4 linked regions of the Stegostoma tigrinum genome follow. The protein of the gene in region 1 binds, or shares a complex with, the protein of each later gene. Links are inferred from orthologs where the notes say so. Each region holds a gene or a part of one and is shown on either strand. Other genes may lie near its edges.

What was found. The genes of interacting proteins can lie anywhere in the genome.
Region 2: med8 (region 1) and med4 share a complex: the UniProt entries of both Homo sapiens proteins name them as parts of the mediator complex. The link is inferred for Stegostoma tigrinum from reciprocal best matches to the Homo sapiens genes MED8 and MED4.
Region 3: med8 (region 1) and med18 share a complex: the UniProt entries of both Homo sapiens proteins name them as parts of the mediator complex. The link is inferred for Stegostoma tigrinum from reciprocal best matches to the Homo sapiens genes MED8 and MED18.
Region 4: med8 (region 1) and med1 share a complex: the UniProt entries of both Homo sapiens proteins name them as parts of the mediator complex. The link is inferred for Stegostoma tigrinum from reciprocal best matches to the Homo sapiens genes MED8 and MED1.

The regions. Positions count from the first base shown.
Region 1 is NC_081361.1:79,769,880-79,776,937, forward strand, and holds the start of med8 (mediator of RNA polymerase II transcription subunit 8), read left to right. Parts: upstream 1-4,041; 5' UTR 4,042-4,074; coding exon 4,075-4,080; intron 4,081-4,089; exon of another isoform or gene 4,090-4,494; intron 4,495-7,058. Other genes in the region: KICSTOR complex protein SZT2, read right to left, coding at 1,135-1,308, 2,188-2,313, 3,847-3,873. UniProt on the Homo sapiens protein: Component of the Mediator complex, a coactivator involved in the regulated transcription of nearly all RNA polymerase II-dependent genes.
Region 2 is NC_081365.1:72,826,767-72,834,255, reverse strand, and holds the start of med4 (mediator of RNA polymerase II transcription subunit 4), read right to left. Parts: upstream 3,016-7,489; 5' UTR 2,910-3,015; intron 1-2,909. Other genes in the region: integral membrane protein 2B-like, read left to right, coding at 3,250-3,336. UniProt on the Homo sapiens protein: Component of the Mediator complex, a coactivator involved in the regulated transcription of nearly all RNA polymerase II-dependent genes.
Region 3 is NC_081377.1:42,903,660-42,910,820, forward strand, and holds the start of med18 (mediator of RNA polymerase II transcription subunit 18), read right to left. Parts: upstream 3,016-7,161; 5' UTR 2,925-3,015; intron 2,886-2,924; exon of another isoform or gene 2,406-2,885; intron 2,364-2,405; exon of another isoform or gene 1,874-2,363; 5' UTR 1,849-1,873; coding exon 1,776-1,848; intron 1-1,775. UniProt on the Homo sapiens protein: Component of the Mediator complex, a coactivator involved in the regulated transcription of nearly all RNA polymerase II-dependent genes.
Region 4 is NC_081384.1:9,381,434-9,388,982, reverse strand, and holds the start of med1 (mediator of RNA polymerase II transcription subunit 1), read left to right. Parts: upstream 1-4,534; 5' UTR 4,535-4,555; coding exon 4,556-4,682; intron 4,683-7,549. UniProt on the Homo sapiens protein: Component of the Mediator complex, a coactivator involved in the regulated transcription of nearly all RNA polymerase II-dependent genes.

The DNA.
Region 1 (7,058 bases):
CTTGACATTAAATGGCATTACCATCGCTGTATCCCCCGCTGTCAACATTCAAGGGAGTCATAACTGATCAAAAACTGAACAGTAATAGTTACATAAATAACATGGCTATAACAGCAGGTCAGAGGCTGCAACTTCTGAGAGAAGTAACTCACCCTGTCTCCCCAATATCTGTCCATCATCTACACACACACGTCAGGAATATGACAGAACACTCCCTACTTGTCTGCACAGGTGCAGTTCCAACTATACTCAAGAAGCATGACACCATCCAGGACTAAACAGCCCAAGTGATTGGCAATTTAACCAACACCATGAAACACTGTGGCTGCACTGTTCACTGTTTACAACTCACACAGGGTCCTTAGAAAATACCTTCCAAACTCTTGATCTCCACTTCCTAGAAGAGCAAGGGTAACAGATACATGGAAATTCAAACGCCTGCAAGTTCCTCTTTAAGCCATTAACATCCTGACAACAAACCATGTCGCCATTCCGACAAGATCACTCAATTAAAATCCACTGACGTCACATGGGCTGCAGTGGTTCAAGAAGGCGGCATACCACCACCTTCTCAAGGGCAATTAGAGATGGGAAATAAACGCTGTTCATCCTGTACACCAGCATCTCTTCAAATAAAATATTTTAAAATATGCATACATGTAATTAAAGAAAACTTTTTGTCAAAGCTGATGAAATTCAAAATATTTATTGAGATGTTCACTTTCGATAGCTTCAAATTTAATCACAGTATCCCCACTGTGCGGACAGAGTCCATTCAACCCATCGAATCTGCACTGACCCTTGGTACTGCATCTTTTCAAGACCCAGCCATCCACCTGATCCCCATAACCCTGCTTTTACCATGGCTAGTCCACCTAGCCTGCACATCTGTAGACACTATGGAACACTTGAACATAGCCAATCCACCTAAACTGCACATCTTTGGACTGTGGGAGGAAACCAAATCAACCAGCAGAAACCCAAGCAGACACAGGGTGAACATGCAAGCCCCATGCAGACAGGCACTTAAGGCTGGAATCAAACCCTGGTCCCTGGTGTTGTGAGACAGTAGGGGTAACCACTGAGCCACCGTGCCACCTCTCTCTCTTCCCACCAAATGCAACAATTACTCACCACAATCCCTGTAGATGGACTGAGATCCAGCTCAATAACAAAGCGGTATCGCTGAGCAAGGAAGGTAATAGTGGTTGAGGGTACCAGTTGGTACGTTTGATCAGCAACTGGTTCATCTGGTTGCCAGCCTTTTGGTAGGACACTGAGAACATCCAATTCATTGTTGGAGTTGCTCTGTAAGAGAGAAAGGATAATTGTGAGATGCATCACAATGGCATATGTTACAACTATTATAAAGCAAAAAGGAATAAAAGGACTTCAATTACTGAATAAATGAAAGATGCTGAGATTGTTCCCCTTAGAGATTAATAAGAAATTTGATAGAAATGTCTGAAAAAGCTTACAGATAGGTTCACTCCAACACTGCCAGGATCTATGTCCACTGGCAGAAGGACAAAAATAAAACACCACCAATTTGGGTTGATTAGCAAAATCAATGTGAGGAAAAAACTTCTACGCAGGGAGTGGTTACAATTTCAAATGCACTTCCTCAGAATATGGAGGAGGCAGGTTCAAAAGGGAACTGGATCAACAGCTGAAGGGGGAAAAAAATTACAGATTTTCTCAGAATCACTAGGGCTTCCCATCATTGCATGATCAATCCACAATCTTGGGTAATATCAGGAGATTTTGCATGTTGGCTCAGTGGCTACCAGCACTCTATTATGTCAAACTGAGCCATGCAGACCAAGAAGGTCCCAATTTCAATTCACAAATATTATATTTTTTTCACTTCAGTTGGACGCTGTGTCCTTTGTTTGAGTCGGTGGTGGGGGAGGGCGGAAAAAATTAATGAGTTCACATTCTCAGTCATTTCAGAAAACAACAGGGCAATTACATTAGTGTAATTATCTATTCTAACATGTCCTGAAAATACTTGTGTTACAAATAGATATTTTAAACTAAGAACATGACCATCTAATTTTCTCCCAATGTACTGAGATTGCAATTTACTTTTCATGCAAAGATTAATACACCATATTAGGTTCCCACTACTTCATCCATGTTCTCACAAAGAGGTCACAGAACAATTCAAGGCACCGTTTCACTCACAAGCTCTGACGTGGACATCGGTCGAATGCTTTGATTCAGTCTGTTGAGAAACCAAGCTAATCTTACATTGCGGGAAATCCGATATTCCTTCTTCATAAGCAAGAAAACCTGTCCTGCTTCTTCCACCTGTCAAAACAAAAGTATGTGACTTGGAACTAGAACTTTAGGTCACCAGAAGCTCTACTAGTATACAAGATCACACATTAATAAGACTATAAATACTTGGATGATTTTGCATCAATGAGATTTGAGTGATTTTCTTTCTGCTCCTTAGTTTGCTTTCTTTCTTTGGTCCTTCGATTAACTTCTCATAAAATTAAGCAACTAAGGCACTCAATGGAAGTCCATTTTACACTTCATCAGCAAGAAAAAGGTTATTAAATCAAATATAGCATTTCTAATTGGAAGTAGATACCTTCCTATGTCTCTCTTTACTTCTTGCAAACATAGAAAATAGGTGGAGTAAGCATTCTTTCCTTCAAGCTTGCACCACCATTCAATATGATCATAGATGATCATGAAAAGTTCATGTTAAACCCAAAAGAGAATTTACTACTTCTATTTTTTTTCCCCTGATATTCAGAACCAGACATTTTTCAGTAGCCAAACACAACCATTTTGTGAAACATCACAATCTCCCAGCAGGCAAAGAAATATTTAAAAGCATCAGAGTTGTTATCCTGCAAGTCTGATGTGACATAAAGCCAACTATATTAGTTACAGGAAACATCTTGTCACAGGACATGATCTGATCGTTGCACTGGAGCTCCAACTAAACACACCCTTTGATATCACCAAAAGAAATTTCCAAACATACAACGCATACTCACCAGGTATATTTCCTCAAAATTCCACAGGTTCCAATGGCTATATTTTTGTCAGTCATTTTTTTATACTATTGCTCCAAAAATTAGCTCCTACATTTGCTGTGGTTTGATATTGCTTTTTTATCATCTACATACCAGCTTTAGTTAATTTTATCCAAATATACTAGTTTTCTGATATGATATGAGTGCTTATCTGCACAATTAGCAAAATTTGAGGACCTTATAAACAAGACTTAAAGCGCATAGACCCAGACAACATGTGTCAAGATTCCATGGTGTGAGGCAAGCAGATGTCTTCTGCTTGCCCAGGAAGCATTTCATATTTTGACTGTTAACAACAAGTAGCACAGGCAGCGTATAAAAGCCCCTACAAGACACTGTGGTTTGTTGATTCACAGGATGTCGGCATCACTGGCCACCCCAGCATGTGTCTGTCGTCCATCACTGAGGATGCAAATTCTAGCCACGCTGGAGACAGTGGGAAATAATTTATCTCAGGAGTCCTCTCCAAAGTTGGGTCAGCTGATGAAACTCGGAGTTCACTGATGACACAGCAACCTCCTCCAGAACAAACACGGGAGCTGTCATTGCTGTTCTGACAGTCCCAAACGCGTATTTATTCATGTGCAGCTCACTGGGTTTTTAACTCTCCGACACGAGAAGAAAAAAAACAATCAGACGGAGAGCCGTAAATCCTATGCTAGCAAAGTTTAAGGAGCTGCGTGCAGAAGGCAGGGTCGCACGGACCTTACTGTACATGTCCCGTGCCCTCCACGGGGCCGCCCCTCACTGTTTGCTGACACCGCACCCCAACCTGGGCCCTTCCCTTTACCTCGGAGTCTCTCTCTCCCCCAGACATGCTCGATGGCCGCTCTCATGCCCACCGGCCGGCCGGCCTTCCGCCCCGCCGCCTATCGATTAGAATCGCAGCACTCTGCCGCTCCCGGTTCATCTCCCGGCACACCGCCCCCCTCCCCCAATCAACCTACATACACGTCACCTCTGACCCCTGGCCCCGTCGCCCGGAACCGGAAACCGGGAGGTAGCGGCTGGGGTTGCCATGCAGGTAAGGGGTCGTCAGCGGGACTGGATCGTCCCCTTGAGCTCGACCCTCACAGTAACTCATTTGTCGGAGGAAATCACTTCCACTCGTGTTCCCCCCCCGCCCGAATCCATCCCGTTTTCCCCTCGCAGTGTAGAGACTTTCAGTCCTCAGCTCGTCATGGCATTTGTGGGCTGGAGACTCGAAGAGAGCAGGACAGGCTAAGCAGGCACATCAGCTCTGGACTTGATCAGTGTGTGTGTTAACTACGAGAACATCGAGATTTACGATGAGGCTGTGCGTCACGTTAGTTAGGCCGCAGCTGAACTGTGCGCATTTTTGGTCGCTGTGCGGTAGGAAAGATGTGATTGTGCTGCAGAGCGCGTAGAGGAAGTTTCACCAGGATCAAAAACGGCTGTTGCTGGGAAAACTCAGCAGGTATGGCAGCATCTGTGGCGAGGAAGCGGAGTTAAAGTTCGAGTCCAGTGACCCTTCTTCAGAACTGATTCACCGGGACGTTGCCTCGGCTGGAGTGATTTAGCTCTGAAGAGAGGAAAGACAGGCTGGGGTTGTTTCAGAGCAGAGAACAGTGATCCACCTTATTCAGGTGTATAAATGTTTGAAGGGTAGATAGAGAGGAACTTTTCCCCTTAGCAGAGGAGTCAATAACCAGGGGTGCAGTTCTACAGAAAGCAGCAGGAAATTTATAGACTAATTGAGGAATTTTTTTTCACTGAGGGTGGTTGGTATCTGAAGCTCTCTGCCCTGAAGGGTGGTAGAAGTGGAAAACCTCAATTAATTTAAGAAGTATTTAGATGAGTACTTGAAATGTCGTAGCATACAAGGCTTCATGCCACATGTTGAAAACTGGGATTACAGTAGATAGATGCTTTGTGACCAGCATTAGCATGACGAGTTGTAGTGCCTCTTTCCATCATAGAATCCTACAGTGTGGAAGCGGTCCATTGTGTTATCCCAACCAAACTGCTGTCCCATAACCCTGCATTTCCCGTGGCTAACCCATCTATAGCCTCCATATCCCTGGACACTATGGGCAATTTAACATTGCCAGTCTACCTAACATGCACATCTTTAGACAGTGGGAGGAAACCAAAACACCCAGAGGAAACCCATGCAGACTCAACACTGACAGCTGCCAGAAGGTGGAATTGAGCCCAAGTCCCTGGCAGTAGGAGACAACATTGCTAACCGCAGCCGTTGTGCCACTGCATGTAGTAAAAATGCCAAGACTTTGTGGGATTTTGCTGTGTGCAAATTTCGCTGCTGCATTTCTGACATTAAGTGACTGCACATCATTTCCAGCATCTGCAATGTCTTTTGATTTCAATATAAAATATCATAAAGGCACTTTAGGAGATGTGGTGTGCATAGAAAGGGCTTTATGATAGAGATCAATTGGAAATGTGGGTGGAGAAATGGTGTTTAATCCAGACAAATGTGGGGTAATGCATTTTGGGAAATCAAATACAAGAAAAAGCATACAATTAATGGTAACACCCTGAGGAGCATGGATACACAGAGGGATCTTGGAGTCCAAGTCCATGGCTCCCTGAAAGTAGCAACACAAGTGAATAAGATGGTAAAGAAGGCATACAGAATGCCTCCCTTCATTGGTTGGGACATTAAGTATAAAATATGGCAAGTCACGTTGCAGCTGTATAAGACTTAAGACTTTCTTTAGGCCACATTTAAACTATTATGTGCAGTTCTGGTCTCGACACTGTGAGAAGGATGTGGAAACTTTGGTGAGGTTGTAAAAGAGGCTTACCATAAAGAAGGGAACAGACCCAAAACGTCACCTTTCCTGCTCCTCTGATGCTGCCTGCCCTGCTGTGTTCATCCAGCTCTACACCTTGTTACCTTTACCATGATATCATCTGGATTGGAGAGTATTAGCTATGAGGAGAGATTGGACAAACTTGGATGGTTTTCACTTGAGCTTTGGAGGCTGAGGTGCAACCTAATAAAAGTATATAAAAATAGGAGAAGCATGGATAGGGTGGATAGTCAGGGTCTTTTGCATGCATGGAAATGTCAAATACTACGGGGAGCAAATGTTTAAGTTGAGAGGGGGAAAGATTTGTACAGGGTGGTAGGTGCTTGGAACATGCTGCCGAGGAGGTGGTAGTAGCAGATATGTTTACAAACTTTAAGAAGTGTTTAAGCAGATACGTGAACAGGCAGGATGTAGAGGGTTACAGATGATGTGGCAGCATCAAAGCTGGTAAAGACATTTTGCTCCAAAGGGCCTTGTTTCTATGCTGTACTGTACTATGAATGCAAGTCTAGTTCTTCAAAGGAAGAAGTACTTGCATCTATGCTGCACTTTTCACTATCTCAGTCTTAATGCAGCTCTGCAGGATGTTACAGTGGAAGCAAAATATTACAGATGCAAAAAATCAGATCCTAGAGAAATGAAGTGTAGGCCCTATTGTTCTGTAGGAAATGCAGCAACCAATTAGTGCAGAGTCAAAAATAGAAATTGCTGGAAAAGCTCAGCAGGACTGGCAGCATCTGTGGAGAGTAAGCAGTTAACTTTTTGGGCTAAGTGACCCTTTCTCAGTTCTCAGGGTCACTCCAAAAGTTAACTCTGATTTCCCTCCACAGATGCTGCCAGACCTGCTGAGCTTTTCCGGCAATTTCAATTTTGTCTCTGACTTACAGCATCCATAGTTCTTTTGGTTTTTAATTAGTGCAGATTGCTTGACAATGTGATAGTGACCGGATAGTGTTTGCTGAGATTAGTTGGAGGATAATTGTTGGCCAAGACACTGGGGATGGTGCTTGTTTTTCTCATGGTGTCATTTTTATTTGTGTTCATCCAGTAGCTCCGAACTTTAACATATTATCTGAAAGACCTCATCTCTGATAGTACTGTGCTGGGTGTTATCCTAGATTTGTGTTTTAACATCTGGAGTGGGACCAAGTGAAACACCTTTTGACTCACTCAAGAGTACTACAAACTGCTGCAATTGATACAT
Region 2 (7,489 bases), on another chromosome or scaffold:
CCAGTCCACCTAGCCTGCACGTCATTGAACTGTGGGAGGAAACCAGAACACCCTGGGAAACCCATTCAGACAAAGGGAGAATACGCAAACTCCACACAGACAGTTGCCCAAGGGTGGAATCAAACCCGGGTCCCTGGTGCTGTGAGGCAGCAGTGCTAACCACTGAGTCACCGTTCTTTGGACCTCACTGACAACTTGTATTGCAATGCTCCTGACAGGCCATTGGAGACAGACCCATCTCTTGCATGGGAGCAAGCTGCATCTCGAGGCTTTTTGCTCGTTCCCCTTAGCATTTTGGGACTGTCTGGATCCTCACAGCACGTCTGTCCTGCGTTGCCTTCCTGCATATTGCCATATCATTCAGAAAGGGTAACCCTTTAATATTTCTGTCTTGCCTGTCTTTCATCAGGGACACAAAGCTAGGCAGCTTGTCATGGTTGTCAGAAGTGATCAGTCAAGGGGGTGGACATAAAACTGTCTTGCATCATGCTATATCAATGTCATACTTACAGCCTGTAGGCAGCTTGTGTGATTAAAGCACTAAGTGTGCCTTAACTGAATGCCATGTTTCAAAGTTTAAAGACAGTAGTCCTCATTCAAGTCAAAGGTAACTGTTGAACCATGACAAGCTGCCTAGCTTTGTGTCCCTGATGAAAGACAGGCAAGACAGAAATATTAAAGGGTTACCCTTTCTGAATGATACGGCAATATGCAGGAAGGCAACGCAGGACAGACGTGCTGTGAGGATCCAGACAGTCCCAAAATGCTAAGGGGAACGAGCAAAAAGCCTCGAGATGCAGCTTGCTCCCATGCAAGAGATGGGTCTGTCTCTAATGGCCTGTCAGGAGCATTGCAATACAAGTTGTCAGTGAGGTCCAAAGAACGGTGACTCAGTGGTTAGTACTGCTGCCTCACAGCACTAGGTGTAGAGCTGGATGAACACAGCAGGCCAAGCAGCATCAGAGGAGCAGGAAGGCTGATGTTTCAGGCCTAGATCCTTTTTCAGAAATGGGGGAAGGAAAGGATGTTCTGAAATAAATAGGGAGACGGTGGGGGGGGGGTGCAGATAGAAGATAGATAGAGGAGAAAATAGTTGGAGAGGAGACAGACAGGTCAAAGAGGCAGGGATGGAGCCAGTAAAGGTGAGTGTAGGTGGGGAGGTAGGGAGGAGATAGGTCAGTCCAGGAGGGACAGACAGGTCAAGGGTAATAGGTACTGCAGATGCTGGGGAATCCGAGATAACAAGGTGCAGAGCTGGATGAACACAGCAGGCCAAGCAGCATCAGAGGAGCAGGAAGGCTGACGTTTCTGGCCTAGACCCTTCATCAGAAAAAGGTGGCGGGTTGAGGTTAATCGGTAAGTGATGGGGGTGGGGCTTGAGGTGGGAAGAGAGGATACGTGGGAGGAAGGAACAGGTTAGGGAGGCTGGGATGAGCTAGGCTGGTTTTGGGATGTGGTGGGGGAAGAGGGATTTTGAAGCTTGTGAAGTCCACATTGATACAATTGAGCTGCAGGGTTCCCAAGCGGAATATGAGTTGCTGTTCCTGCAACCTTCGGGTGGCGTCGTTGTAACTCATATTCTGCTTGGGAATCCTGCAGCCCAACGGTATCTGATCGTTGCATTCTCTGACTGATCTCCCAGCTTCCTCTCTACGTACGGTGGCTCAATGGTTAGCACTACAGCCTCACAGCACCAGTGACCTGGGTTCGATTCCAGGCTCAGGTAACTGTCTGTGCAGAGTTTGCATATTCTCTCCGTGGGTTTCCTCCGGGTGCTCTGGTTTCCTCTCACAGTCTAAAATGTGCAGGCTAGGTGGATCGGCCATGCTAAATTGCCCATAGTATTCAGGGGTGTGTGGGTTATAGGGGGATGAGGATGGGTCTGGGTGAAATGCTCCAAGGGGTGGTGTGGACTTGTTGGGTCGAAGGCCCTGTTTCCACACTGCAGGGAATCTAATCTAATAACATTGTGCTTACCCAAAAACTCTGATGTCCACATCATAGCTCCCTTCCTTATTTTCGAATTGCTCCTTAGCTTTCTACATTTCATTCAATAGCCTGCTGTATTTCTAGTGTCTTATTTTATTCTCTAATCAACACATTCAGAGATGTATCAGAGGAGCAGGACGGCTGCGTTTTGAGTCTCGAGATTTATGAAGAATGGTCTAAGCCAGAAACACCAGCCTTCCTGCTCCTCCAATGCTGCTTGGCCTGCTGTGTTCATCCAGCTCTACACCTTGTTATCTCAGATTCTCCAGCATCTGCAGTTCCTACTATCTCTGTTCAGAGATGTTATTGGATATCTTTGGGGCTTGTGGGAATGCTGGAGACTACAACAAGTCAGGTAGCGTCCATGGAGAGAAAGCAAGCTAACGTTTAAGAGTCTAGATGAGCTTATCAGAACTGAAGTCAGGTGTGGGGGGGGAGCAGCACTTCTGCAACAGTTGGGGAGGGGTTCGAGTGCTGGGGGAGAAAGGCTGTTGATAGTTTAGATTAAGTGATAGGAATATCAGAATGGCAGAAGAATGGTGCATCTAACTGCCAGACTGGAAATACCTAGGTCTCCTAGTCTAAAGTTACCACTGCACCACGAAAACCCAATTCGAGCGACTTGCAGATAAACGACTCATTCCGCTTCCTTGACCTGTCCGTCCTCCCGGGACTGACCTATCGCCTCCCCATCTTCTCCTCTATCCATCTTCGGTCCGCCTCCCCCTCGCTCCCTATTTATTTCAGAATCCTCTCCCCATCCCCCTTTTCTGATGAAGGGTCTAGGCCCGAAACGTCAGCTTTTGTGCTCCGGGGATGCTGCTTGGCCTGCTGTGTTCATCCAGCTCCACACTTTGTTATCTCGGATTCTCCAGCATCTGCAGATCCCATTATCACTGATTACCTTTACCTTCACCTACCTGAGGGCAACGTTCCCTTCGAACGCCCACTGGGCATACGGGGCAGGAGTCCTTTACCCTAAGGGCGGGACGGGGCGTGCCGCCCACTGGGTGGTCCCTCCTCCCTGGGGCGGGGCTCATAGGTCCCTCCTCCCCCACACACACACGACACATGGGGGCGGGGCAGCGTTCCCTGGGATCTTCTTGCTGAACGCGGTCGGATATTTATGTTTGTGAGCTGCGTCATGCGGATGATTCCGAGGTCCAGCTGGAAGTGAAGCGGGGTGGGTTTTAGTCCGGAGTGCGCCGAGCCGAGAGTTGTGTTTTTGTTGGGTTTGCGCTGCCATCTCGTACTGCCACCATGGTGAAAGTGTCCTTTAACTCTTCGCTGAGCCAGAAGGAGCCTAAAAAAGAGGAGAACAACGAGGCGCTCGTCATCCACGAGAAGGTACGTTTACCGGGGGCGGGGGCTGTTTGGGGAAAGGAGGGGGATGAACTGTCCGTGGTTTTTCAGTTTATTGCCGGACCTTGGACAAAGTCTGGACAGTGTTTTTGGAACCAGGGACTGGGCTTTCGATTTCCAGTTTGTGACCCGGAATGCGGCCTTTGGTGGCCTGATCTCTTTGCCCTTCCGTGCATCAGCTGTCCCTGGATATTGAGCCCGGGTCATAGTCCCTGTCCTCGGATGTGGGAAGGAGTCGACTTCGACCGTTCGCTGTAAAATGGCTGACGGTGTGGCTGGGGCCCATCCTCTTCGTCCTGACTGTCTGTCTCTTTCCCTCCCCCCCCCCCCCCCGCGGAGGAGGCATCGGCGTCGTTGGGAAAAGTCCACGCACGCTTGGCGATCGCCCAATACCCTGCATATGGGCCAACCCCACTTCTGCTTTTGGATTTGGGGAAATCCGATCAGGGACTGGTGAATGTTCCCTCACTAGGTGGGGTGGTACAGGGAAAAAAAGTCACTTTTTAAAAAAATCCTATTGGTGCACGCTCTTACAACTTTCAGATTCAATATCAGGGTGTCTGCACAAATCTTCTGTCACATTGTTGAAGTACGTCGGGTTCGGGGAAAACAACGGGAGAGATTATCAATTGTTACAATTTCTGATGAACTGGATTTTTTTTTTAAAAAAGTCAACTTTTGAAATGGTTTAGCATAGAGAAGACCATGCATTAGATCTTTTAGGTGGCAGAAAATTCGAACTTGACAAAAAAAAGCGAAAGTTCTGTTAACTAACTAGTAAGTACTTGCACTTCGAACCAAAATTCCCCACTCGACTTTTCCGCCTGTTCTGGTTGCACTTTCAACTTTCGTAGCTACATGACGGGACCCGAAGTTCTGTTCTAATTTGGAACCAAGCTACTTTGGACTCTTGCTCGCAAAAGATTCTGCTTAGTTTGCTAGCTTGGCATTCAGATTTCCTAATCTCCTGTTTCTGCAAGGACTCTGCCAGTTTCATTACCAACTTGGTAGATCTGGCAATTTTAATTTTTCAAAATGCAGGAGGCACATAAAGACACTTTGCCTATAGAGGCAATGTTAGGACAAAAGAACCTTGCTAAACTCTATGGACCCATTTCCATAACCTGGGCAATGGTAGTGCACATGGCCTGTTCCCAAACACCTGTAAACTGTTATTTGAGGAAGAAGTGAATACTTGATGTCTTATTGTCTTGATGTCTACAAACATTTTAATTGCAAGAATAATTTAAACTGCTCCTCCTACGCCCTGACTGTTTTTGTTTTTACTGGCTTTCAATTTAATATGAAATATTCTTGCAAAGTGCTTATGGCCTGTCTTCTCAAGATATTTAGAGAAGCCATTGTAATCCAAGGCATGAATGCCTTGCCACCAATCCAGCAACACAGTAGAACTCTTTCTTCACCCTCTTCTCCCTGCTGACCAAATCCAGGAATTCACGCCTATCTAATAACTTGGTTTTAATAGACTGCCTTTTCAAAATTTAAACCACGTCTTAAAAATGTAGTTTTCAAAACTAAAATGGTCTTGTCTGTATTTGGAACACAGTAGTGATTAAAGGTTTGTCAAATGATTTTTTATTTTGAATAAAACAAATTTTATAAAATGGTTTTCTTTTGATTTGAGGAAAGGTGGAAGCTTTGTGGCAGGAACCAAGAATGTGAGATCTAGGTGTCCTTCTAGCTGATGTGGTCGAAGAGGTTTGCTGTATAGATTGGAGTGGTTCCCTTAGCATACAACTTGAGACCCTACATTAGACTACTATGGAACACCAGTTGATGATGAGTTCTGAAAGCTTGGTACAGAAGGCTTTAAGAAAAATATTAAAGGACAGTGGAGGTAAGGAGAGTTTGGAAGACAGAATGCTTAGGACCTTGGTATAGCCACAAAATGGAAGAAATTAAATTTGGGGATTCTCATAAATTCACTTTTTAAATATCTTGGAGCTTTGTGGGGCGACAGCACATTACTGTAATGTGGAGAATTTGGTAGAGGTGGTTAAAGTTTAAAATAGGCATAATAAGTTTAAAGTTGAAGGACCAGAGACAATGGCATCAACAAGGATAGGTGGTTGGTGGTACTCTAAAATACTCGCACTCACTGACCTGCACCATGTTGGTGACACATCTAGTCCCTTTAGCTGATGTACATTATGCTGTGTTTTGTTTGTCCAATAACTTGAAGCATGCTATCGACAATTAGCCAAAAACATCTCTGACACTGATGTGATCTCAGGCTCATTGGTAATGCCATGGCAGTTTGTCGTGTTATAATTGTTAGGCTTCATTTCCAACTCCTGTCATGCTAATGAATGATATTAGGGTAGTGCTTCTGCTGAATGCTATTAATTGGGCATGAAACACAACTTAATCAGCAACTCCTGTGTGCATATGTGAATTCCAGCTGTAAACTTTTGGTTTACATAAACAACCTCAAGACTGATGTGTAGCCAGGCTGTGCTGCAGAGATTTCTGATTCTGAACCTGAGATAACAGTTGCACGTATTGTACAATTTTAGTTTCCATGTTCTGGAAGGATATTGGAGTATACAGCCCAGACTGCCTAGAATGCTTTTTGATGTGAGGAATTGAAAAAACTTGAAAATTGAGAACATTTTCAATTGAGCAGAATGTTTAAGGTGGATTTCATAAACTATCCATTGACAACGTTTGGAACTATTACCTCTCTTGACCCTTCTGCCTGTTCTCCCTGAATTCAGACTGCTGTATGGTATTTGACATCCAGCATTGGATGAACAGAAAATTCCTAAGAATTTGAAAATCTGAAGCCATAATCTTATCTCCACCTCAAACTCTGCTCCCTGGCTGCAAAATCCATCACTTTCTCTCTTTCAGCACTAACCCTCAGCCAGAGTATAAACAACCTTTGTCATATTTGACTCTGGGGTTAGCTTTCAGTCACATGATCTAATGTTGCCCAATGTCACTTCCCTGATCCTAAGATGCTGCTTCACCTGCTGTGTTCATGCAGCTCCACACCTTGTTATCTCTATCTCTAATGTTGCCTATCTCTAGTTCACCTTCAGTTATTTCTGAGACTTCCAGATCTGACTGTTCTAGCGTTTGTAAATTTCTATTCACCCTCCTCAGTTTTACCTGTGTGAACTTGAGATGCACTGCTTATCATAATACCCACCAAATGTCCTTGCCATCAAACTGCACTAACTCAGTTGACTCACAATTAATGCATCTTCTAAAATTCTCCCTTTTCTTGCTTTCAAACTATGCTGAGACCTTGCCCTGTCCTGTGTCTACTTAATTCCAGCCCTGAGATCTGAAAGATCTTCACTCTTTATTCTTAACCTCTTGAGCATTTCCCATTTGCAGTTGATGGCAGTACCCTTAATTGCTGAGGCCCCAAGCTTTCGAATATCGTCCCTACGTATCTTCATGTTTCTATCTTGCTTTTCATCTTTTAAGATAGTTGTAGAATTGTTAAACCCATGCCCTCTTTTGTACTGTCCTACCAAAGCAAAATGACCTTGGCTACAGGTGTCACAGTGGCTCACTGGTTAGCACTGCTGCCTCATGGTGCCAGGGACATGGATTTGATTCCACCCCCTGACTGTGTGGAGTTTGCACATTCTCCATGTCTGTGTAGGTTTCCTCCCACAGTCCAACGATGTGTAGGTTGGGTGGATTAGCCATGGAAAATGCATGGCTATAAGGATAGGGTAGGGGGTTGATTCTGAATGATACACTCTTCAAAGGGTTGGTGTGAGTTTGATGGGCTGATGACCTGCTTCCACACTGTTGAGATTCTTTGATTTTTCTTTTGAAAAGAGAGATTTTCACCCTCTGTGCCCTCATGATTTCAAAAACCCTTATAAGGTCACCCCTCAGCCTCTGACCTTCCAGGGGGGAAAAACCCCAGCCCTTTCAGCCTCTCCCTGTAGCTCAATCTTTGTCGTCCTATCAACATCCTTGTAAATCTTCTCTGAACCCTTTCACATTTAACAATATCTTTCCTATAGTGCTTCAAAAACTACTTTGACCAAATTTTTAATCCATCTGTTTATATTTCCGTTATGTGACATGGTTCATTCAGTTTCATTATGCATCTTGGATGTTTCAAGGCATCATATACATGTTATCATTA
Region 3 (7,161 bases), on another chromosome or scaffold:
AGGGGCTAAAAGCAGGTAAATGAGACTAGTTTAGCTTTGGAAATCTGGTCAGCATGGACAAGTTGGGCCAGAGGGTCTGGTTCTACGCTGTACAACTATATGTTGCCAAAGCTTTAACGTCATTTCCTTTTAATGTCACAATAATTTACACTACAGGATAAAAGGAAAATAAATTGTTTTCTCTCAAATTCCTAATTTCAAAAGATCACAATCTAACCACTGCCCCTTGGCATTCAATGGTGTTATCATCACTGAATCCCCCACTATCAACATCCTGGGGGTTACCATTTACCAGACACTCAACTGGACTCAGACTGGCTACAAGAGCAGGCCAGAAGCTGGGAATACTGCAGCAAGTAACTCACCTCCTGAATCCCCAAAGCCTGTCTACCATCTACAAGGCATAAGTCAGGAGTGTGATGGAATACTCCCCACTTTCCTGAATGAGTACAGTCCCAACAACACTCAAGAAGCTTGACACCATCCAGGACAAAGCAGCCCGCTTGATCATCACATCGCATCCACTCCACTCCCTCCACCACTGACACTCCGTAACAGCAGTGTGTGTTATCTACAAGATGCACTGCAGAAATTCACCGAAGATCCTCAAACAGCACCTTCCAAACCCACGACCTCTTCCATCTAGAAGGACAAGGGCAGCAGATATATGGGAACACCACCACCTCCAAGTCACTACCATCCTGATTTGGAAATATATTGACGTTCCTTCACTGTCACTGGGTCAAAATCCTGGAATTCCCTCCCTAATTGCATTGTGGGTCAACCCACAGCAGGCGGACTGCAGCGGTTCAAGAAGGCAGCTCACCATCACCTTCTCAAGGGCAACTAGGGATGCGTAAGAAATGCTGGCAACCAACAAGGCCCACATCCCACAAATGAATTTTTTTAAAAATTAGGATTTCTTGCAATTGTCCTGATCAACACAATGCAAAAACTTCAGTAATACATCTCTCTTTTCAACAACATTCGAATCCCGTTATTCTGGGGGTTTTTTTAGAGAAAAATAAGGCTTTGTCATAATTTTTACAAATATCAAAGATTAGAACATGAGTAATAATTCAGCAGGACAAGTAACAACATTTCTACCCAGCAAGGTCCCAGGTTTGTATGGAGCTTCGCTGGCATTCAGGGCACTATAAATGGCCTCAAATAACCTGGGTCAAGAGGAGGAAAAGTGCAAATTTCCTCAATGCCAGTGGCTAGGTGGAAGACTCCAACACATCTACAGCTTTCAAGTTAAATGGTGGGAATAAAATTGACAGGATAATAACCAAATATGGAGCACACTTATTGGAACTGTCTAACCTGTTTAACATTTATTCACAATGAGCAGAATGCAACCATTATACTGCTGAGAGAAGTGAATATCTTATATTGTGCTCCTGAGATGCTGCTTGGCCTGCTGTGTTCATCCAGCTCCACACTTTGTTATCTTGGATTCTCCAGCATCTGCAGTTCCCATTATGTCAGAATAATCTGTGGTTCTCCAGCAATGTCAGGTTAAACCACGATCAGTCGTCTCTCTCTCTCTCTCTAATGAGGGCAGCCATATGGTCCTCACAGAATAGAGACTTTACTTTACAGTTAAGGACACAAGGTATAATAGAATATTACCCACAAGGAGCAACCTGGCAGAATGTCTACTCATTCTGACTCACGTACCAATCACTGAAGAACTGTTTTAGTTCTGAAACCCCAGTTACTTATCTGCTGAAATCATTTTACAGTAAAATTAACAGGGCCACATTTCATACCTTGAAGAATATATTCCATCATATTAATGGTTCCACCAATGACAGGTAACACCGTAACAGGAGGGGCCTCCATTTTGACAAGTCTCCAGGAAACCTACCTGTGGGGAGGGGGAAAGATGCTGTGAAGAGACTGGAATGTTTGAAAAGTGGACATCTTGAAAACCAGGGTTTCAGTAACATAGGGGCTGGTTTTCTGGATAGCTGATTTATATACAACGTTATGCCAACATAATGCCACAGGAAATACAAGCAGGATGAGGCCATTCAGCCCCTTGAGCTTGCCCTGCCATTCAATAGGATTGTGGCTGATCCAACATCTCTCATGTCCACTTCCCACACCAGCTGAGGTTACCATGAATCTGAACCTCAACCCTCACCAGGGGGACGTCAACCCTCACCGGGGGGACGTCAACCCTCACCGGGGGGACTTCAACCCTCACCGGGGGGACTTCAACCCTCACCGGGGGGGCCTCAACCCTCACCGGGGGGACCTCAACCTTCACCGGGGGGGAGGGGGGGGACCTCAACCCTCACCAAGGGGGGGCCTCAACCCTCACCAGGGGGACTTCAACCCTCACCGGGGGGGGCCTCAACCCTCACCGGGGGGGCCTCAACCCTCACCCGGGGGACCTCAACCCTCACCAAGGGGGGGCCTCAACCCTCACCAAGGGGGGGCCTCAACCCTCACCAGGGGGGCCTCAACCCTCACCAAGGGGGGGCCTCAACCCTCACCGGGGGGGCCTCAACCCTCACCCGGGGGACCTCAACCCTCACTGGGGGGGGGGACCTCAACCCTCACCAAGGGGGGGCCTCAACCCTCACCCAGGGGGGACCTCAACCCTCACCCAGGGGAACCCCCAGGTTAAACCAACATCAGTCACTTCTCAGAATGAGAGCGCAGCCCCACGGGAGCATGGAAACTGTCCCAATTTAATATGAGTGACAGAGCCCCCTCCCCTGAACACAGTCACATCTCCCCAGGACATCGGGGGCAGTGTTCCAGAGACGGGAGACCGGGATGCTGGAGGAGGAAGGAAACATTGGAGAGGGGGGGTGGGGGGGAATGTGTGACAGGATCGTGCCGGCATTACCCCCCCCCCCCCCGAGAGCGGGGGGGGGGTATTTGTCTCTCGGTCCCAGGAACCTCACCGGAAGTGACCCGCGTGCAGACGCCAATACCGTCCGGGCGGAAACCGGAACCGGAAATGTATAGGGTGCCCCATCATTTGTGTTCCCCAAGATCGCTTCCTCGCCCTCCCCCGCGGCCCCACCCCCCCCATCCCCTCCCTCCTTCCCCACTCCCCTCCTCCCCGTCCCTACCCCGCTCCCTACCTCCACCCCCCTCCCCCACCCCTCCAATACCAAGCCCCCACCTCCCCCTACCTCCTTCCCCTCTCATCCTCCACTCACTCCTCTCACTTCCCACCCCTACCCCCCTCCCCTCCCAACCTCCACCCCTACCCTCCTCCACCCCTACCCCCCTCCCAACCTCCACCCCCTCCCACCCCACCCCTACCCCCCTCCCAACCTCCACCCCTACCCCCTCCCACCCCACCCCCCTCCCAACCTCCACCCCCACCCACCCCACCCCTACCCCCTCCCAACCCACCCCTACCCCCCTCCCAACCTCCACCCCCACCCCTACCCCCTCCCACCCCACCTCCCTCCCAACCTCCACCCCCACCCCTACCCCCTCCCCCCTCCCAACCTCCACCCCCACCCCTACCCCCTCCCAACCTCCACCCCCACCCCTACCCCCTCCCAACCTCCACCCCCTCCCAACGTCCACCCCTACCCCCTCCCAACCTCCACCCCCTCCCAACGTCCACCCCCACCCCTACCCCCTCCCAACCTCCACCCCCTCCCAACGTCCACCCCCACCCCTACCCCCTCCCAACCTCCACCCCCACCCCTACCCCCTCCCAACCTCCACCCCCTCCCCCACCCCTACCCCCCTCTCAACCTCCACCCTCACCCCTACCCCCCTCCCAACCTCCTCCCCCTCCTCCACCCCTACCCCCCTCCCAACCTCCACCCCCTCCCCCATCCCTACACCCCTCCCAACCTCCTTCCCCACCCCTCCCCTCCTCCCCATCCCTACCCCCCTCCCAACCCCTACCCCCCTCCCAACCTCCACCTCCACTCTCCCCTCCTCCCCATCCCTAACCCCCTCCCAACCTCCTTCCCCACCTTTCCCCACCCCTAAACCCTCCCCTTCCTTACCTCCTCCCCTCCCCCACCCCTCTCCCTGCCCCAGATCCTGAATAAACAAGAAGTCCATGTTTGAACCCTGACATCCCGCAGTGTCGCTGAGCTGCTGGCCATTCCCAGAAATGTTCCCTCATCATTGCTGTGACAAAAAGTGACCCTGGGGGAGTTGAACATGAGACAAGCTGAATCTTTCTTTTCTATTCACTGTCAGATGTAGGTGTTGTTGGCTGGACCAGCATTTATTACCCATCCCTAGGCACTCCTTGAGAAGGTGTGGATGAGCTACCTTCTTGAACTGCTGCAATCCACCTGATGTGGTTTGACCCACAATGTCTTTAGAGAGAGAATCATTCCCAGCAGCTGGAGACTGAAAACATCTTTCTGATCTCAAAGTGTTGCATTCAAAGCTGAGCCGGAGACTGTAAAAACACCTGAATATTCTGATGGAGGCCAAGGTCCTGAGCAGCAACTTGACATATCCGATCTCTCCTTCCTAAAAGGACCCAATTTTACAGACTGGTACCAGTCTTTATATGGTTGCCGAGCTCAGTCTCTGGACAGTCGTTAAACAGCTGGAATATTTTGATCCAATGACTGCCTGCAGTTTTCCTAAGTAATGCCTATTTTTTGGGAATGCATATTTAAGTGAATTGCCTGTATGAGATGCTTAATCCTCTTTTGAAAATGTTAACATGGTGAAATTGGACAGTTTATCCATAAGCTATCTCTTAGTTCAAACACTGCGCCCTTATGATCCACCTACAGGTAATATTTACAACACCAGCCCAGAAAATTCTGAAGAAGGGTATAGGCCTGAAATGTCAGCTTTCCTGATCCTCTGATGCTGCTTGGACTGCTGTGTTCATCCAGCTCCACACCTTGTTAGCCCAGAAAATACTGTACCCAGGTTCAATTCAAGTCCTAGTGATAATGGGAACTGCAGATGCTGGAGAATCTGAGATAATGAAATGTGAGGCTGGATGAACACAGCAGGCCCAGCAGCATCTCAGGAGCACAAAAGCTGACGTTTCGGGCCTGGACCCTTCATCAGCGAGGGGGATGGGGTGAGGGTTCTGGAATAAATAGGGAGACGGGGAGGCGGACCGAAGATGGAGAGAAAAGAAGATAGGTGGAGAGGAGAGTATAGGTGGGGAGGTAGGGATGGGATAGGTCAGTCCAGGGAAGACGGACAGGTCAAGGAGGTGGGATGAGGTTGGTAGGTAGGAGATGGAGGTGCGGCTTGGGGTGGAGGAAGGGATGGGTGAGAGGAAGAACATGTTAGGGAGGCAGAGACAGGTTGGACTGGTTTTGGGATGCAGTGGGTGGAGGGGAAGAGCTGGGTTGGTTGTGTGGTGCAGTGGGGGGAGGGGACGAACTGGGCTGGTTTTGGGATGCGGTGGGGGAAGGGGAGATTTTGAAGCTGGTGAAGTCCACATTGATACCGTTGGGCTGCAGGGTTCCCAAGCGGAATATGAGTTGCTGTTCCTGCAACCTTCGGGTGGCATCATTGTGGCACTGCAGGAGGCCCATGATGGACATGTCATCTATAGAATGGGAGGGGGAGTGGAAATGGTTTGCGACTGGGAGGTGCAGTTGTTTATTGCGAACCGAGCGGAGGTGTTCTGCAAAGCGGTCCCCAAGCCTCCGCTTGGTTTACCCAATGTAGAGGTAGCCACACCGGGTACAATGGATGCAGTATACCACATTGGCAGATGTGCAGGTGAACCTCTGCTTAGTATGGAAAGTCATCTTGGGGCCTGGGATAGGTGTGAGGGAGGAGGTGTGGGGGCAAGTGTAGCATTTCCTGCGGTTGCAGGGGAAGGTGCCGGGTGTGCTGGGGTTGGAGGGCAGTGTGGAGCGAACAAGGGAGTCACGGAGAGAGTGGTCTCTCCAGAAGGCAGACAAGTGTAGGGACGGAAAAATGTCTTGGGTGGTGGGGTCGGATTGTAGATGGCGAAAGTGTCGGAGGATGATGCGTTGTATCCGGAGGTTGGTGGGGTGGTGTGTGAGAACGAGGGGGATCCTCTTTGGGCGGTTGTGGCAGGGGCGGGGTGTGAGGGATGTGTTGCGGGAAATGCAGGAGACGCGGTCAAGGGCATTCTCAACCACTGTGGGGGAAAAGTTGCGGTCCTTGAAGAACTTGGACATCTGGGATGTGCGGGAGTGGAATGCCTCATCGTGGGAGCAGATGCGGCGGAGGAATTGGGAATAGGAGATGGAATTTTTGCAGGAGGGTGGGTGGGAGGAGGTGTATTCTAGGTAGTTGTGGGAGCCGGTGGGCTTGAAATGGACATCATTTACAAGCTGGTTGCCTGAGATGGAGACTGAGAGGTCCAGGAAGGTGACGGATGTGCTGGAAATGGCCCAGGTGAACTGAAGGTAGGGGTGGAAGGTGTTGGTGAAGTGGATGAACTGTTCGAGCTCCTCTGGGGAGCAAGAGGCGGCGCCGATACAGTCATCAATGTAACGGAGGAAGAGGTGGGGTTTGGGGCCTGTGTAGGTGCGGAAGAGGGACTATTCCACGTAACCTACAAAGAGGCAGGCATAGCTGGGGCCCATGCGGGTGCTCATGGCCACCCCCTTAGTCTGTAGGAAGTGGGAGGAATCGAAAGAGAAGTTGTTGAGGGTGAGGACAAGTTCGGCTAGGCGAATGTGGGTGTCGGTGGAGGGGGACTGGTCGGACCTGCGGGACAGGAAGAAGCCTCACACTTTGTTATCTTCAATTCAAGCCCTAGCAGAATTGTTGTCGTTCCTTAGGTCTGTCAGTTACCGCACACAGACATGAGCCATCGACCCCTGTGAAACTATTGCATGTATACTCCTATAAAATAAATACTTCAATAGAGAACCAGTCAAGTCTTTTATTTCTTTTGTGAAATGCTTTCAAAAAGACAAATCAAATTTCACTGTTGGAATGGACTAAAATCTCTTCACTTTGTCAAAGTCCTCACTACTTTGATCAATATTATGTTTGGCGTTTTCCCACTGACCAATCGGCTGATTCAGGTGTCCACCTGTTTTTCACCTGCTCTGGGTAAAGTGTACCGGGTCTGGGTTTGAAATTGTGAAGGAGTGCAGCATAGCTTTCCCCGAGTGATACCTGGACTTGCAGCATCGAATTATAAAAACCACAAGCCATAGCCTCACCCCGGACCACTAGCGGCTTTGCCTCTGA
Region 4 (7,549 bases), on another chromosome or scaffold:
CATTGTGGGACAATTTCCATCCAATGGTAAACTGAAGACACAGAAAAAAAAGTTTTGAATTTCTAAACAGCAATTGGCCAACAATACTAGGACTGATACAAAACAACAAGAATCAGCAATGGTTCCTTTTTAAACCCATTAATCATGTCACTGACTACCCTATACCCCTTCTACAGTTATTGCCTTGCCATCCTACAGTGAAAAGTCTGATAGGAAAAGCTGAAATAAACAATGGCCTTGCCAATGACAGATATACTAAAGCATGAGAACATCACAATTTTGAAAAATATGAGCCTTATTATTAAGGCTCCCATTCATTACACATACTGGATTGTACTTAACAGGATGTTGTTGGGCTTTATTGAGCCAGTGCAACTTATGTGGTGAAGACGCATCTACAATGGCTTTAGGTAAAGAACTCCAGGAGTTTGACAACAATAAAAATATGGTCAATATCAATGTTCATGTATACTTGCTGCCCTGATTCTTTGTGAAGGCTGCAGATCTGGGAGATACTGCTGAGGACACACCTTAGAGAGTTTTTTTTCCACAGTGCAGTATAGACAGTACCGTAGACAGTTTCCAGTCAACCTGTTCAAAAATATTATTACACATGGCTGGGGCAGAGACAACTTGAGCAGGGATGTCCTGCCCCAGAGATAGGGATACTGCTGGCAGAGAGGATGAAGGTTTAAAGTATTGGCTAGGCTCCCAAATACATGCATTGTTTTTATCCATGAAAATTTTTGAAGTTCATGAATAGAGCTAGAGTCCACCTATCAAGGCAAGTGGTAAGTTTTTCATATAATTTTTGACTAGGGCACTGTGGTTAGGAGAATGGCTTTGAGCAACATGGGTTGCTGCAGAGTGCACAGTCTCTAATATACCTTCAGAGATAATGGGAACTACAGATGCTGGAGAATTCCAAGATAATAAAATGTGAGGCTGGATGAACACAGCAGGCCAAGCAGCATCTCAGGAGCACAAAAGCTGACGTTTCGGGCCTAGACCCTTCATCAGAGAGGGGGATGGGGAGAGGGAACTGGAATAAATAGGGAGAGAGGGGGAGGCGGACCGAAGATGGAGAGTAAAGAAGATAGGTGGAGAGAGTATAGGTGGGGAGGTAGGGAGGGGATAGGTCAGTCCAGGGAAGACGGACAGGTCAAGGAGGTGGGATGAGGTTAGTAGGTAGATGGGGGTGCGGCTTGGGGTGGGAGGAAGGGATGGGTGAGAGGAAGAACCGGTTAGGGAGGCAGAGACAGGTTGGACTGGTTTGGGATGCAGTGGGTGGGGGGGAAGAGCTGGGCTGGTTGTGTGGTGCAGTGGGGGGAGGGGACGAACTAGGCTGGTTTAGGGATGCAGTAGGGGAAGGGGAGATTTTGAAACTGGTGAAGTCCACATTGATACCATATGGCTGCAGGGTTCCCAGGCGGAATATGAGTTGCTGTTCCTGCAACCTTCGGGTGGCATCATTGTGGCAGTGCAGGAGGCCCATGATGGACATGTCATCTAAAGAATGGGAGGGGGAGTGGAAATGGTTTGCAACTGGGAGGTGCAGTTGTTTGTTGCGAACTGAGCGGAGGTGTTCTGCAAAGCGGTCCCCAAGCCTCCGCTTGGTTTCCCCAATGTAGAGGAAGCCGCACCGGGTACAGTGGATGCAGTATACCACATTGGCAGATGTGCAGGTGAACCTCTGCTTAATGTGGAATGTCATCTTGGGGCCTGGGATAGGGGTGACGGAGGAGGTGTGGGGGCAAGTGTAGCATTTCCTGCGGTTGCAGGGGAAGATGCCGGGTATGGTGGGGTTGGAGGGCAGTGTGGAGCGAACAAGGGAGTCATGGAGAGAGTGGTCTCTCCGGAAAGCAGACAGGGGAGGGGATGGAAAAATGTCTTGGGTGGTGGGGTCGGATTGTAAATGGCGAAAGTGTCGGAGGATGATGCGTTGTATCCGGAGGTTGGTAGGGTGGTGTGTGAGAACGAGGGGGATCCTCTTAGGGCGGTTGTGGCGGGGGCGGGGTGTGAGGGATGTGTTGCGGGAAATACGGGAGACGCAGTCAAGGGCGTTCTCGATCAATGTGGGGGGAAAGTTGCGGTCCTTAAAGAACTTGGACATCTGGGATGTGCGGGAGTGGAATGTCTTATCGTGGGAGCAGATGCGGCGGAGGCGGAGGAATTGGGAATAGGGGATGGAATTTTTGCAGGAGGGTGGGTGGGAGGAGGTGTATTCTAGGTAGCTGTGGGAGTCGGTGGGCTTGAAATGGACATCAGTTACAAGCTGGTTGCCTGAGATGGAGACTGAGAGGTCCAGGAAGGTGAGGGATGTGCTGGAGATGGCCCAGGTGAACTGAAGGTTGGGGTGTAAGGTGTTGGCGAAGTGGATGAACTGTTCGAGCTCCTCTGGGGAGCAAGATATACCTTGCTTGTCTGAACTGGTCTGGAATTGTGTGATTTCACTGCTGTTTATGTGGAGGGATTGCCTATTTGTTTTTAGATTGGTTTTTTACAATGCCAAATGCAAGGATTAGCAGATAGGGACTTCAAACCATGTAGAGTATTTGCATTCTGGTGGTCCCACATAACACCAAGTTTCTAGAACGTTGCAAACAGGGAGATGGGGCAAACTGCTGAAGGAAGTTGAATTAACATGAGGTAACATTAGGCAAGTTGCTATCAGAACAGTCTCTTGTCCGTTTTCAGGTTTCCTCTTCTCCTTCTCTATACCCAAGGTGTCATTGTCAGCAATTGCTAGTTCCAGCAGGAAAAGTTATTTTCTTCTTCCTTTCCATATCACATCCTGTAGTAATCTAAAATAATGAAGAAAACCATAATATTTAATACATAAAGTTAACATTTTTAATACTCAGGGAGTGGTAAATCTTTGGAATGCTGTGATTGGGTTGTGAAAGCTCAATCATTGGGCATATTCAAGACAGAAATAAATTAAATTCTTTAGATTAGTGGCATTAAACAATTTTGGAAATAACATAGAAAAATGACATTGATGCAGTTGATCAGTAATGATGTAGTTGAATTACACAGCAGCCTCAATGGGCTGAATGGCCCACTCCTGCACCTCTGTTCGGATATGTCCTTAGAGAATCCACATGCAGGGCTGCAGCTGCTACTCAGGGCCTTCTTCCCTTCAAAAAAATGGCAGCTTCTCCTGCCTAAGCATAAAGTGAAGTGAACCTGCCAGTGTCTGAGCTATCCCTGCAATATGAGACAGCAGTAAAGCACTGTCACCCATGGTCATGCCCAATTCAACTGGCTGCATCCTTCCCACAAGAGATTCCCAACTCCTACCAGTGCCAAGAGCAGGCTCAATGATAATGAGATTAAATCCCACTCTTTTTGCCCAAGTTGACCGCACCCTAAATTTCTATGGATCCTTACAGCTTCTGCTACAATTCATATCAAATGGGATTCATTGATCGCTTCAAGTTTCTATTAATTTGCATTCTGTCACCCTGACAGCCCTGCATTTTGCTTCATTTCGGTACCTTTTGGTACTTCTGGGATGAGCAGTGAGATGTGAAACTTCACTATCTCCTTATTTTATTTTCTTTTAGTTTAGTTTTGCTTTTACATTTTGCTAATTTGTCACCGATGTCTTGTAATTTAGTAAAGCAATAATGTCTCTGAGAGACATTAGTGTAACACATGGATTTTCATCATATTCCAGTAATGTCATTACAGCTATTGTTGTTGCTAAATTTTTAATCCAGACTTTTTAAAGTAACTATATTTTAATCCCCCAGCTACAAGCGACCCTGTCTCATTGTGAACTATCTACGTAATATCACACACATACAGGGTACTGAAATAGCTCCAACGAGGCCGGTATCCCATCACCAAGTCACCCTTTATTTACACATGGAGAGTCAGTAACACTGCTCCAGCTTCCTTAGAGCCAACTCTCAGAGTGAACAGAATCTCTGACCCGAGATAGTGGGAGCTGCAGATGCTGGAGAATCCGAGATAACAAAGTGTGAAGCTGGATGAACACAGCAGGTCAAGCAGCATCTTGACCCACCTGTTTATATCTGTCAGCCAGAGCTCACTGATTGGGGCAGATTAACAGTTCCAATCAGAGAAATCATATTCTGGTTGACCACATTATGATAACTACAGATACAGTTACACTCCCCTTGAAAATTTTAAGTGGAAATTCTATCCATGAAGTTGCCTTTATCGCTTTCATTAGACAACATGGTTCCTTTGTCTCCATCACTTCTGGGATGGCATAAATGAAATTATCCTTCAGTTGTTTCACAAATCTGTGTCCTCTGTCTATCTTCCTGGAAAGATTTAAAAAAGGAGTCTTACGAGGAGCAGGAGGAAGCCTGCACAATAAGAAAGATCCATAATTTCAACAAAAGGGGGAACTTCTGAACAATTTTATTCAATTTGGGGAAACATTGCAGTTTGGGTGCAGTTTCCCCCAGTTTGCCTCCAGGGGGCGATATACCAGCTTCAGTGACGTCTTGATCCCTTGCGTCGGATGTGACGCCGTTAACCTGCGCGGCCGGGCCGAGCGAAGGGGAGGAAGGGGAAGATGGCGGCGTTGCAGGGGTTCCCCGTTTCGGTCTCTTACAGCCACAGTGGCTGCGTCGACACATCGGCCGGGCCGCAGCCCCAGCACCAGCCGCCACACGCCGAGCGGAGCAAGGAAGAGGCGACAGGTAAATAAAGGCCGGTAACCTCGAGGCGGGGGTCTCGGTCTGCTGGGGGCCAAGGAGCTCCAAGGGCAGGAGACCCCAGGTGATCAGAGGCCTGAGGCTGGGCATCGGCCCTCGGTGGGGGGGGGGGGTCTTGGGTGGGCATCGGCCCTGGAGGGGCCAAGGTATGGGAACCTGAGGGTAAGGATTCGACCCAGATGTTAGGGGCCTAAGCATGGGTATTGGAGCCAAAAGGTCAGGGCTTGAGTGTAGGCATCCATTCCGACGGGCAGGAGCCTGAAAGTGAACATCTGGTCTGAGAGTTAGAGGCCTGAGGCTGGATAATGGACCAGAGGGGTAAGAACATTGGGTGGGCTTTGGTTCTGGAGGCTGTACGTAAATGATTTGGAGGAAAATGTATCTGATCTACTTAGTAAGTTTGCAGACCATACAAAGATTGTTGGAGTTGAGGACTGGAAGGAGGATTGCTTGAGGTTACAGCAGGATGGAGATCAGTTAGGCGAATGGGCTGAAAAGTGGCGGATGGAGTTTAACCCAGACACACGTGAGGTGAGGCCTTTTGGACGGTCAAGTACAGGTGGAAATTATACAGTGAATGGCAGGACCCTTAGGAGTGTTGACATGCAGAGGGATCTGGTTGTGAACGTCCACAGATCACGGAAGGTGGCAGTGCAGGTAGATAAGGTAGTAAAAATGGCTTATGGTATGTTTGACTTCGTTGGAAGGGGCATTGAGTATAAGGATAGACCAGTCATGCTGGAGCTTTATTGAACTTCACTTGGAATATTGCATACAGTTCTGGTCACCACACTACCAGAAGGATGTAGATGTTTTGGAGAGGGTACAGAAAAGGTTTACTGGGATTTACTGGCTGACGTGGCGACCTGATAGAAGTTTGTAATATTGTGAATGGCATGGATCAATGGAAGTATAAGGCTTTATCCCAGGGTGGAGGGGTCATTTACTGGGCCACACAGGTTCAAGGTGTGAAGGGGGAAGTTTAGAAGAGATGTGTGAGGAACATTTTTCACACAAAGGATGGTGAGTGCCCGGAATGCGTTGCCAGAGGAGTTGGTGGAAGCTGATACAATAGCAGCATTCAGGAAGAACCTGGACGAATATTTGAATAGGAAGGGAAAATAGAGATACAGATTCTGGAAGTGAAAACAGTTCTAGTACGGAAGGGGAAAATGTCAGTGCAGGCTTGGAGGGCTGAAGGGGCCTGTTCCTGAACTATATTTTTGTTTCTTGGGGCCTAAGGGTGGGCATTGGACCCCAGGGGTAGGGACCTCAAAGCATAACGGAGGTATTCGTGACCTGCCCCTTTACTGAATTCAAAAGCAATTATTAAATGACATGAATTACCCCCCGCACCTTTGGCTCCACATTGAAAATCCCTCACCTGCACAAGCTTTCAGGCACTGGTGGAAGATTTGGTTACCCTCTTCATCTATTGCTTTATGTGACAACAGGCCCAAGCCCTTCTTAAATAGCTGAATTTATTAACCTGAATGGGTGATCTGTGAGCTCGTGCATCCTAGGTCCTGTTGGATAAAATCAAAAAGTGGAGTGATAAGTAGGATTGATTGAGTTTATCCACCAATAAAAAGGTGACATGATACTCTGTCTATCTGGACACAATCTTTCCCATCAAAATTGTGTTTGTTGAAATTTCAACAGTTCAAGTAAACCTCGTATCAAAGTTAGATGTGATTATCCTTACAATGACTGCAGTCATCAAAACATTGCCATTTAATCTTTGACTAAAATTTTTCAGGCCACTTCTGTCATCACCAATGTCATGAGGCTCTTTAAAAGTCATTGAGGGCAAATACACTTTATTTGTCAATGAATACCACTACTTATTTCAGGCTTGTGTGAGTGATGTTCCTTATAATTGTACTGCTTGCTAGATAAATCAGGTCAGTTTATTTCGTCCATAACACTTATGGATGTACCCTTAGTAAATGGCAGAACCAGATGAGGCTGCAGATAAGTGTATAGGAAATGGAAACTGAAACTCCACCATGTGTGCCATGGAGATTCAGAAACGGTCACTTTCATATTGATTTGTTTATGACATAAAATCATAGATTTGCAGCATAGGGAGATTCTCAACCCATCGTATCTCTGACTGAAAAAGAGCTAATCAGCATAATTCCCCCATTTCTAGCCCATGGTCCATAATCTCCACATGACAGCGCTTCAGTTGCATGTCCAAATACTTTATAAATATAATGAGGTTTTATTCATGTACAATCTTTACAGGCAGGGAGTTGCAGAACCCCAGTACTCTTGTGAAAAGATTTCTCCTTAACCCTGTTCTAATCCTTCCACAAATTATTTTAATTAGTTTATGATCTCTTTTGCTAAGGGAAATTGGTGCTTTCGAGATTGGAAGTTTGTTTCTATTGGATTTTGTAAGAGGTTGAGTTGTAAGCGATATATAGCGATGGTTTATACTTAAACGTAGGTAGCATGATAGTGAAGAAATTGGCAGTAGACTGCATGAAAATATGTGTGGATTGGCCATCTTGTCAGAGAAGTGTTGAGTAGGAATCATTCCAGAGAAGCCTGGGGTAATGCATTTGGGGAGGGTCAAATTTACTGATAGGTTCCTGAGAAGTAACAGAGTAACATTGGAGTGCATGTCCATGGATCTCTGAAGATAGTCGTAAGATAGGTAAAAATATAAAGGCTGAGAGGTTATGACGAATTTGTACAAAATAAAAGCAAATTACTGTGGATGCTGGAGATCTGAAGTGAAAAGAGCAAGAACTGTAGAATCTATGCAGGTCTGGCAGCGTCTGTGGAGGAAGAAAAAAAGTTAACATTTGAAGTACAGTATGACTTTCGTTTGGAACTGTGGT